Linked DNA regions of Ovis aries. The main gene of each other region encodes a partner of the protein of the gene in region 2 in a complex. Links are inferred from orthologs where the notes say so. Each region holds a gene or a part of one and is shown on either strand. Other genes may lie near its edges.

Region 1 (4,826 bases), on a different chromosome or scaffold from region 2:
AAACCTTTGGAACTAAAAATATTTCTACTATTCTAAAAAATTCAGCATTCCATTAAGAGGGTTGACTATAAAGTGACTTTAAAGAAATATTTTGTTACTGACTACAGCAAAGACACCTCCAGGCCTTTTTATCTTCATTTTATCTCATAAATTTAAGAAAAAGTGTAAAGTCATTGGGACAATAATTATAAGAACAACATTATGAGGCACTTTATATCCTATTTAAGTTTGTTTCAAAAAAGCCCAAGGCTTTACAAAAACCCAATATTGAGAGACGATGTCATGAATATCAAGAATCTTGCTTATGTCTTTAAGGTTTGGCTTTTCTATCACTGATTTATAAAATCATCAGTACTGGATTGGTACAAAGAATGAGAGAAATAAAAACTTACTATACCATTAGCTTTGACCAAATATGTGCTGAGAAGAAAGTTTAACTTCACGTATATGATATGAATAATTAGAAACTGTACTTTTAGTTGCCTAGAGAGGAAAGTGAGAAGTAACAGCAAAAAAGATCATAAATGTGTATAAAATATCCCTTGGTTTCTTTTTTGGATAATAATAGATAATAGTAATTTTTACAGCTACCAATACTAGTAGCTAAGTGTTTACCAGGTACCTGGCACAGTTCTGAATACTTCAGAGGGACTAACACATTTAAGCTTCCTAATAGTCATCTGAAGGAAGTTCTATTATCTCACTTTATAGGAGGAAACTGATGCAGAGAGTGGCTAAGTAATGTTTACCAGAAATTCTGATATCAGAGCCCATCTCTTACCCATGCTATGTGGACTTTTATACATGGGGTTTAGAAATCAAAATATATTTTAATGAAATGCATTAAGTGTGATAACCTTTAAGCTGACCACAGCGAAAGTCAATTACAACAGGTTTTTAACCTTTTTTTGTTTTTTAAGAAAAAAAGTTTAGATGTTATAATACCTGAAACATATCAGTGTTGCTGTCATGAGTATATTCAACCACTACTGTCTGTGCTCGAGACAAGGTGTATGATATGCTATGCTGGTCCTTATTGCTTATTGCCTAAGAAAAAAAAAGATTAATAGCAGAAATTAGCAGGTACATCAATCTAAATAGATAACCATAATAGATAAAAGATAACCTTTTTTTCAAAAAAAAAAGAGAGGGAGCTGTGCTCATTATACTATAACAATGTAATTGGAAAAAGAATTTGAGAAAGAAGAGATACATATAAATGTATAACTGAATCACCCTGTTGCACACCCAACACTAATACATTGTATTGGAGTATATGTACTCCAACATAAAACAAAAGTTAAAAAAAAAATACCACTATATTGCTTCAAGGGTAAGTCAACTATTTTATAATTACAAAACAAAACATCTCTTATGTCACTGCTGGTATTCATTTCAACCATACACAGACGTATAAAAATATATATGTTAATACATAATCAAGGACATCACTGCTGCTACTTTGAATAAAATGTTTGATCAATTGAGAATAAGAAAAATAGAGGTTTTTATTCTTTCTTTAAAAAACAATGATCTATTTATTACATGTATGACATATTTTCCCCCTGAAATTTAGAGATTAATAACTTGCATAACCTTTGCTGTGACAGTGGTTTCTTAGAGTGAGTGGAGTACAGAAGAATTTAGGCAGACCTCATTTTATTATGCTTCACAGATAACTGAATTTTTTATAAACTGAAGATTTGTGGCAACTCTGCATTGTCAGATGATGGTTAGCATTTAGCGTTAAAAGTACTTTAAAATTAAGGGCTTTCCTGGTGGCTCAATGGTGGGAAAGTCCATGGAGAGGGGAGCCTAGTAGGCTACAGTCGATGAGGTCGCAAGAGTTGGACACAACTGAGTAACTTTCATGATGCTATTACTGAACACTTAGTTCTCAGTCACTCAGTCATATCCGACTCTTTGTGACTGATGGACTGTAGCCCGCCTGGTCCTCTATCCCTGGGGTTCTCCAGGCAAGAATACTGGAGTGGGTTGCCATTCCCTTCTTCTGGGGATCTTCCTGACCCATGGATTGAACCCAGGTCTCCTAAATGGAGGTGGTTATTTACCAGGTGGATTCTTCACTCTCTGAGCCACCAGGGAAGCCTGCACACTTAGGGGACCACAGCATGGTGCAAACATAACTTTTATATATATATTAGGAAATGAAACCAGTTGTGATTTGCTTTATTGTGGTGGTCTGAAACTGATCCCAAAATATATCTGAGGTCTATCTGTGCACTGAAGCAATTACAGAGTAAAAACATAAGTTCACTGTATAAAAAAATTGTAAAATCTGAGTCTCCATTATAAGTATTTCAAGTTATAAGATACTTAAAAATCAAATCCCAGATAGAAAATGAAAGCAGTACTCAGTACTGCTCTGATAAGGAGAAAACACAAAATCTTGCAAGACAAGATTATTTATTTAAGAATCTTATTTAATAACTCAAAGAGGCTTAAAGTTAACAAATAAGCAAAGTTAACTGGTTTTTCTAGCCACTCTGTGACTCTATAGATGACAAGTATTTGCCATATGCTAGGCTAGATACAGAAAAATTCATAGAATGATTAAACATACCAAAGGAAATGGATATAATGCTTATGACTGTACTTTTGACATATGCCAAACTAAAAACATTGTTAAAAAGAACTTCTCAGTTTTGTTTTCGGGCGTTTTCTATGCATATGAGTTGATGATAATATCAGAGGGGGAAAAACCTGCACAGAGGAAGTGGAAACAGGCTGTGTAAAAGAAACAGAGAAAGACACAGAAGAATGATTATATGCAGCAAAGAGGCTAAATGAAAACAAAAAAACACTTTCGTAATTAGAACTTTGGTATTATGAAATTTTACTTGGTTTCAATTGGTAGCTAACCTGTAATGATAAAGTCTTCATAGTTTTAAGATAATTAAGACTGTGAAATTTTCAAATATACAAAAAGAATATATAAATACCTGGGTACTAACTACCCAACTTTTATCATTCTTACTAATACCATTTCTGCTTCTGATATTTTAAAAGAAATTAAACTGCAGATATAATGAAGGCTGCTTATATGTCCTTCCCTACTCCTGTCTCTGTAGAGGAACTGAACCTCAAGAGTACAGTTAACGTCACTCCCATGCACTTTAACAGGCTTTATATGCAGGCTTTACCACACATTGATGCACTCATAAACATGACAAAATGGTTTTAAAGATTTAAAAATCTATAATTACTTTATCTCAACATTAAGCAGCTGACTTTTCAATGAAATAATTTTTTAGTACTTTGGCCATTAATTCTTAAAGGCTAAAGGGATTTAAAAACACAGGTTTTGTATACTTTGAGATTATAAACTGTGTTTTTTTAAACTATGAGATCTACTCAGATTGAGAATACAGAGCTGTGTCAAGTTAAATTCTCACTGGATTGGAAGTCAGGGTTTAAGCACTCATCCCAGATGACTGCTAGACTAAACAGTTAGTTTTCTCCCTGACCTCATTATACACTCCTCCAAAACTGAAAAAGCAGAAAGTCAATTTTTGATCCCTAAGATTCCTGCTGCCTAGTAAAGATGCAAAGGAGCCAGCAATGAAACATGAGAAGTATGACAGTAAAAACATGAAGAGACGTACACAACAGGAAATTACAGAAGCAAGGCTTAGAAAGATTTCCCTAGGATAGTAGTTCTTAACCAGAGGTAGTGTCAGCTGTGTAAGGGGCGTTTGCCGGCTGTGTTTGCTGGCCATCACAATGATTTGAGGGCTGAAATGGCATTCAGTGGGAAGGGACCAAGAATATTAGGTTGGTGCAAAAGTAATGGCTGTTCTGCATTGTTGAACTCTGCCTTTAATACTGGAATAAATTCCTAAATAAATGTGGCTATGTTATTATACATCATTTTAATGTGCATTTCTCACTTTATTTTTTTTGCTAATGACTTATTACTTGTTTATATTTATTTTAGACTACAGAAATGATGCTAGATATAAAGCAAATTTGGGCAATTTTTTTATTCGAGTTCAAAACGGGTCATAACGTAGCAGAGACAACTTGTAACATCAATAATGCATCTGGCCCAGGAACTGCTAGTGAACGTACAGTGCAGTGGTGGTTCAAGAAGTTTTGCAAAGGAGACAAGCGCCTTGAAGATGACGAGTGTGGTGGCTGGCTATCAGAAGTTGACAGTGACCAACTGAAAGCATCACTGAAGCGGATCCTCTTATAACTACACAAGAAATTGCCAAAGAATTCAACGTCGACCATTCTACGGTCATTTGGCATTTGAAGCAAATTAGAAAGGTAAAAAATCTTGGTAAGTGGGTGCCTAATGAGCTGACTGCAAATCAAAAAAATCATTTTGAAGTGACATCCTCTCTTATTCTACACAACAACAAACCATTTTTCAACCGGATTGTGACATGTGACGAAAAGTGGATTTTATACAACTGGCAATGATCAACTCAGTGGTTGGACTGAGAAGCTCCAGAGCCCTTCTCAAAGCCAAACTTGCACCAAAAAAATGTCATGGTCACTGTTTGGTGGCCTGCTGCCCATATGATCCACTATAGCTTTCGGAATCCTGGTGAACCGTTACATCTGAGAAACATGTTCAGCAAATCAATCAGATGCACCCAAAACTGCAACACCTGTAGCCGGCAATGGTCAACAGCAAGGGCCCAATTCTGCTCCATGACAATGCCCGGCCACACACTGCACAATCAATGCTTCAACAATTAAATGAATTGGGCTATGGAGTTTTGTCTCATTCACCATATTCACTGACTCTCTTGCCAACCAACTACCACTTCTTCAAGCATCTTGACAACTTTTTG
Region 2 (5,448 bases):
CTATAGAATCGATTGCCCCAGAAGGGATATTCCACTCAAGTAGGAACTCCTTGAGAGCAGACGCAAGGTAGTACTTGCTGTTCTGTCTCCAACAATTAATTCTCTAGTTGGCACATGAGACGCTCAGTAAAAATTCAGTTGAGTGAAGGAGTATGTGTGGTTCCCCAGCCCAGACTTTGATGGTAATTAGCTCTCCCAGAGATGGCTCCTCCAGCCCCTGCTTCCTCATCCATCTGAAGACTCAGATGCCTGGCCCTTTGACACTCACCTCTCTGGAACGACTGTTGCCGAAGAGGAGGTCCTTGGTCCTTTCACCACACACTTGTCCAAAAGGGAATCTGTCATGAGTAGAAATGAGTAAGTGGAGAGTTTTACACTCACCGTCCCTGTCTCCTCACCCACCCTCCTGATACACAAACTTACCTACTTCTTCCTCTGAGTCCTCAGCCAACAGAAGCCTGGAGGGTTGAGTTCCTCCCTGTACCCTGGGTGTCTCCTCTACACTTAGAGGGCCCCGGGAGACAAAAGGCCGGGGGACATCCAAGCGATGGTACTGGCAGGGCAAGTCAGCAAAGAGAATCAACTCCCGGTCCCGCAAACGATGACTCACCCCAGGGCTCAGGACCTTAGGAGGCCGCAGGATTTGAGTGCCATTGAGGCTCCCGCAATCCCGAAGGACAGGCGCCTTGTCCCAGGCAGAGATTTCAATCACTGCATGTTGTTTGGATATTGATGAAAAGGGCAGGGCCACAGAGCAATCAGGCATTCGGCCTATCATGTTCTTTCCAAGGTAGAGTGGGAAGTCTAAGAATTAGAGAGGTAGGTGAGTTCCAAAGCCATACTCCTAACTTGCTATTAAGAAAAACATCTGTTAAGTTCCCCACGACTCACTCAAGGTCCCCCTCATGCATTAGAAAAATAAAAGGCCCTAGAATAACTAGCTAATAAAGAATATGTGCAATGCATTATTCATAGTCAACATTCCATCCATCTACACTGGATTGTTTCTATTGTGGTAAAATATATATAAAATTTGGGCTTCCCAAATAATAATGTCCCCAGTAAGACATTTTTTCCAGATCTCACAAATGCATATCTAAGCTTGCAATCATCCTATTACCTCCCCACAGAAATAAGAGGCCAGTACTTTAGCATGAAATTACTCCTGACCTTTTTCTGGTCCATAGGAACTACTGAAGATATGCAGCTGTGCTAGGGGCTCCAAGCTATACCCCAGAGATTCATTGGGGCTCTCTGCAACCTCCTCCTCTTCTTCAACTTCCCAGTTTAAAATCTGGGTGTCTTCCATGATCTGAGAAAAAAACACATTATCCCTTCCTTCAGTGGCTCACACACACAGCCTCAGGGAGGAGACTGGTTACTGCAGTCTCCTGGATAGCTATGGAGGCTGATGCTTCTCTTTCTGCCAATCATTCTGTTGTTATTCCTCTGAAGCATTTAAGAAATATCTCTGACCATGACACAGAATAAGAAAGAAATGTAACAGAGTTCCAAGTACAGAAATATAAGGGTCTTCCCTGGTTGTCCAGTGGCTAAGACTCTGCACTTCCACTGCTGGGGGGTGCAGGTTCCATCCTTGGTCAGGGAACTAAGATCCTGCATGGCCAAAAAACCAAAAAAAAAAAAAAAAAAAAACCACCCACAGAACACCAACAAAACAAACAAACAAAAACTGAGTTGAGAGACTTCTCTGGCGGTCCAGTGGCTAAGACTCTGTGCTCCCAATGCAGGGGGCCAGGGTGCAACGCCGGGTTAGAGAACTATAGCCCACATGCCCCAACTAAGGCCACACAGCATGTGGGATCTTAGTTCCCTAACCAGGGATTGATCCCTTGCCCCTGTAGTGGAAGCACGGAGTCCTAACCACTGGACTGCCAGAAAACTCCTTATTTTACTTTCTATTTCTCAGATAAAGAAACTGCAACAGGGATGGAGTAACAGATTTGTCTAAGATCACTCAGATAATGGGGCTTCCCTTGTGGCTCAGCTGGTGAAGAATCTCCCTGCAATGCGGGAGACCTGGGTTCAACCCCTGGGTTGGGAAGATCCCCTGGAGAAGAGAAAGGCTACACACTCCAGTACTGTGGCCTGGAGAATTCCAGGGACTGTAGAGTCAGATAAGACTGAGTATCTTTCACTCAGATAATGTCTCTTCCTGTTTAATATTCTTTGATGGTTTTCCATACCCATAGGATAAAATATATCTAAACTCCTTAGCAAGACCCTCAACGATCAGAACCTCATCTCCTGAAATGTGTGTCCCATCCCCACCCCGTCCAAGCCTGTGGTTCTACAACATGGACCTTCTCCTTAATCTCTGAACACACTGTCCTCGTTCTCTCACATCTGCAGGCCTTAGCCAGCTCCTTAGGACGTTGCCCCTAGTGTTGTGATCCAACTCCTATCCATCCTTTTAGCTCAAATGTCACTTTCGAAGCAAAGCCTTGCCTTTAGTCTTCTCTGTGTTCTGGTACTTTCCCCTATTTCCCATGTATCCTAAGTGTTTCACGGTGGTTGGTGGACTTATATTATCCTAATAGGTCTCACCATAGTGTAACTATTACATTCCATTTCTGCCTCACACATCCCCCTTGAGAACTGGACCAGTTAGAACTGTCTTTTCCCCAAGGGTCCATCATGTTAATTCAACAGTAGTTACTGTGTACCTGATACCATTAGAGATATTTCGAATACATTCATGAGTCAAACGTAAAATTAACTCTGCTCTCCTGATGAAATAATAAGATGAAAAGTCAAACTAGTATGGGTGGGAATTAAATTTGAAAGATGCTACCTTAAAGGGAAAATGTAGACAAGGAAAGTGGGACACCTCCATGGAGAAAGTGTTAACATCGTTTCATGAAGGCGAAATGAGCGGCGCCCACGACCTTCGGCTCCAATCCAATGGGCCTTCAACTTTGATCTCGATCCCAAGGGTTCCCTCTGAGCCCAACCTCTCCCAGTGTCTTCATACCTAAACTCAGGGAGGGCCGTCAAGTGAAGATGAGGGTTATAATCCGAGAAGCAAATTTCCAAGAATCCTCCGCCCAGTCGTAACCAAGGCACGCCCCTCCCGCCCTCCGGGAGAACCAAGATGGCATCCGGGGAGTCGTGGGCGAGGCCCCCCAGAACTCACCTACTTTGAGTCCCCGCGCGCGCCACCAGTAACGGCTGCGACAGGGGTGGTGCCAGTGCCTGAGCGGGGAAGGGGCTGATTAGCTGATTGGCTGAAGCCTTTGTCTTTCTCGGCCCTGCGGCAAGCAGACGGAGCAATCCAACGCGGAGGCATAGCCGGAGCCCCGCCCCCGCCCCGCCCCGCCCCCTTACGGCTCAAAGGGGCGGCTTCTCCGGGGAGACAGATCCGTTGGACGAGGCGGTAATCGGAAGCCTCGGAGGCGCACAGAATAGCGCACTTCGATTGGGCAGCTCCAAAGGGACAACCCACTGCGGTTTCACCACCCACTTCCCGCGTATATTTCCAAGTTGCGACCACAGAGTCTGGATGCCAGCAGCGGATAGAGGGGCTTACCACAGTCGTCGACCTAAGCATGTAGTGCGGCCAGAGCGCCTTCTCTGGTCCTCCCAGAAATGGTGTCCGCTGACTCATGAGAAATATAAGGGTTGCGGGCTGCAGTCGTGGCTGAAGACTTCAGTCTGGAGAATAGCCCGTAGGCGTGGCGCTTGAGGACTCACTACAATGGAAGTTCATTTCCTTTTGATTTAGCTCATCTAGAAGTCATGTCATTTCCTCCCTGAGAATCCATTCCTGATGGACACTTTGAGGTCATTATCCTAGAGTAAAGATATCTAGGCAAACGGAGAGAACTCTTTTGTTAACCATCTTAAAGGCTGACCGAGGTCTTTGAAGGGCTACAGAATGGTAAATTATTTTGCTAAATTTCATACTAAGACAATTTCACAGGAATAATTTAGGAGGACCTTTTGCATTAGTATTCTCACTTCGTTCTGACCAGAAATAAGAGTTCTGCGGAAGTTAGCTTGCCTAGGCTCCTACGGCTGTTAGAGACAAACTGAAACTGTTTAATCGTGAATTCTGAACTCTCTTCACTACCACAAAATAACTACTTTCACTGTGATTGTGCCTTCAAACATAAACATTTTAACTGGGTAGACGAGTTTTACAGAAATTTATGTTCTTTTATTTAGAAGATGAGAAATGTGTGTTGAATCCAGTGTGAATTAACACCTTGCTATCATCTAACCAAGTGCCTCATAGGTAAACAGCTCTCTTGCCAATTCAGGAGACGCAGGAGAAACGAGTTCGATCCCTGGGTCGGAAAGATTCCGCGGAGAAGGAAATGGCAACCAGCTCCAGTATTCTTGCCTGGGAAATCCCATGGACAGAGGAGCCAGGCGGGCTGCAGTCCATGGGGTCGCAAAGAGTCGTACATGACTGAGCACATACGGAGCCTGATATCCCATGTCCTTTAATCATGGTGCTTACCACACTAGTGGTTATACACTTCTCACCAAATTGCAAGATCCTGGAGGACAGTGAGGTAAGGTGAAGGTGAAGTCGCTCAGTCGTGTCCTCTTTGCGACCCCATAGATTGTAGCCTACCAGGCTCCTCCGTCCATGGGATTTTCCAGGCAAGAGTACTGGAGTGGGTTGCCATTTCCTTCTCCAGAGGATCTTCCCAACCCAAGGATCGAACCCGGGTCTCCCACATTGTAGGCAGACGCTTTACCGCCTGAGCCACCAGTGAGCTAATCCTTCATCCTAGCTCCTTTGGTGGACATTTAATATCGCTCAAGTTGAATTAATCCCTGAGAAGAAACATGCCACTCAGATTTGAGCTCATCCATTTTTTTCCCATCACCCTCCCTACTTTTATTTTAATCCCGAGGTTCTTGAAAGATTGCAATGGTCAACCACCTCTCAGTGAAATCAGCGAGTTGAAAAAACACTGACTTCATCAAAGTGCCTATCAGGTATCTCACCCCACAGTTCGCCTCTTGACAAAACTGTGTTAAACGCTGCTCTAAGGCGCAGATTCCCCACATGGACGGAGACTTCCGGCATATCTGCTTCTCTATTCTTGAACATACCTTCCAAACAATTACTTTTTATACTGAAAAGTCCTTGATGCAATTTTGTTTCTTTCTAAATATTATCGTTAGAAAGCTCCCAAGGAAATAGCAGGAAGGCAATGCCCTCCTCCTTCCCGAGATATCTGGGGGAGCCGGAGCTCACTGGAGTTCATGCCAGTTGGGTCACCAGGGACCAGCTGTTAGATAGCAGATCAGGGTGCCGCATTTCTCCCCGTTTTCGCTGAGCTAAGCAGTCCTGTCTTCCCAAGAGCTACCGCAGCGGGGAGCTTTCAGGGCGTGCCCTCACTCCACCTTCCAAAGCCTGGCACACCAGGGTTCCCAATTCCTGTACCCTGCTAAAACTACTCTCTTTTG

The links. The genes of interacting proteins can lie anywhere in the genome.
Region 1: the proteins of MDC1 (region 2) and PELI1 are in contact, whole or in part, in a crystal structure (PDB 9IF9), measured with the Homo sapiens proteins. The link is inferred for Ovis aries from reciprocal best matches to the Homo sapiens genes MDC1 and PELI1. Residues at the interface, in NP_055456.2 of Homo sapiens: Glu761, Asp762, Ser763, Glu764, Thr765, Gln766, Pro767, Phe768, Asp769; in NP_065702.2 of Homo sapiens: Arg104, Ser105, Thr106, Glu107, Thr115, Asp116, Val130, Gln131, Ser132, Thr133, Ile134, Ser135, Arg136, Phe137, Thr185, Asn186, Thr221, Arg222, Ser223, Ala224, Cys247.

Annotation. Positions count from the first base shown.
Region 1 is NC_056056.1:44,196,336-44,201,161, reverse strand, and holds part of PELI1 (E3 ubiquitin-protein ligase pellino homolog 1), read right to left. Parts: intron 1,048-4,826; coding exon 946-1,047; intron 1-945. UniProt on the Homo sapiens protein: E3 ubiquitin ligase catalyzing the covalent attachment of ubiquitin moieties onto substrate proteins. Involved in the TLR and IL-1 signaling pathways via interaction with the complex containing IRAK kinases and TRAF6.
Region 2 is NC_056073.1:27,418,985-27,424,432, reverse strand, and holds the start of MDC1 (mediator of DNA damage checkpoint protein 1), read right to left. Parts: upstream 3,197-5,448; 5' UTR 2,858-3,196; coding exon 2,816-2,857; intron 1,313-2,815; coding exon 1,171-1,312; intron 805-1,170; coding exon 424-804; intron 339-423; coding exon 269-338; intron 1-268. UniProt on the Homo sapiens protein: Histone reader protein required for checkpoint-mediated cell cycle arrest in response to DNA damage within both the S phase and G2/M phases of the cell cycle.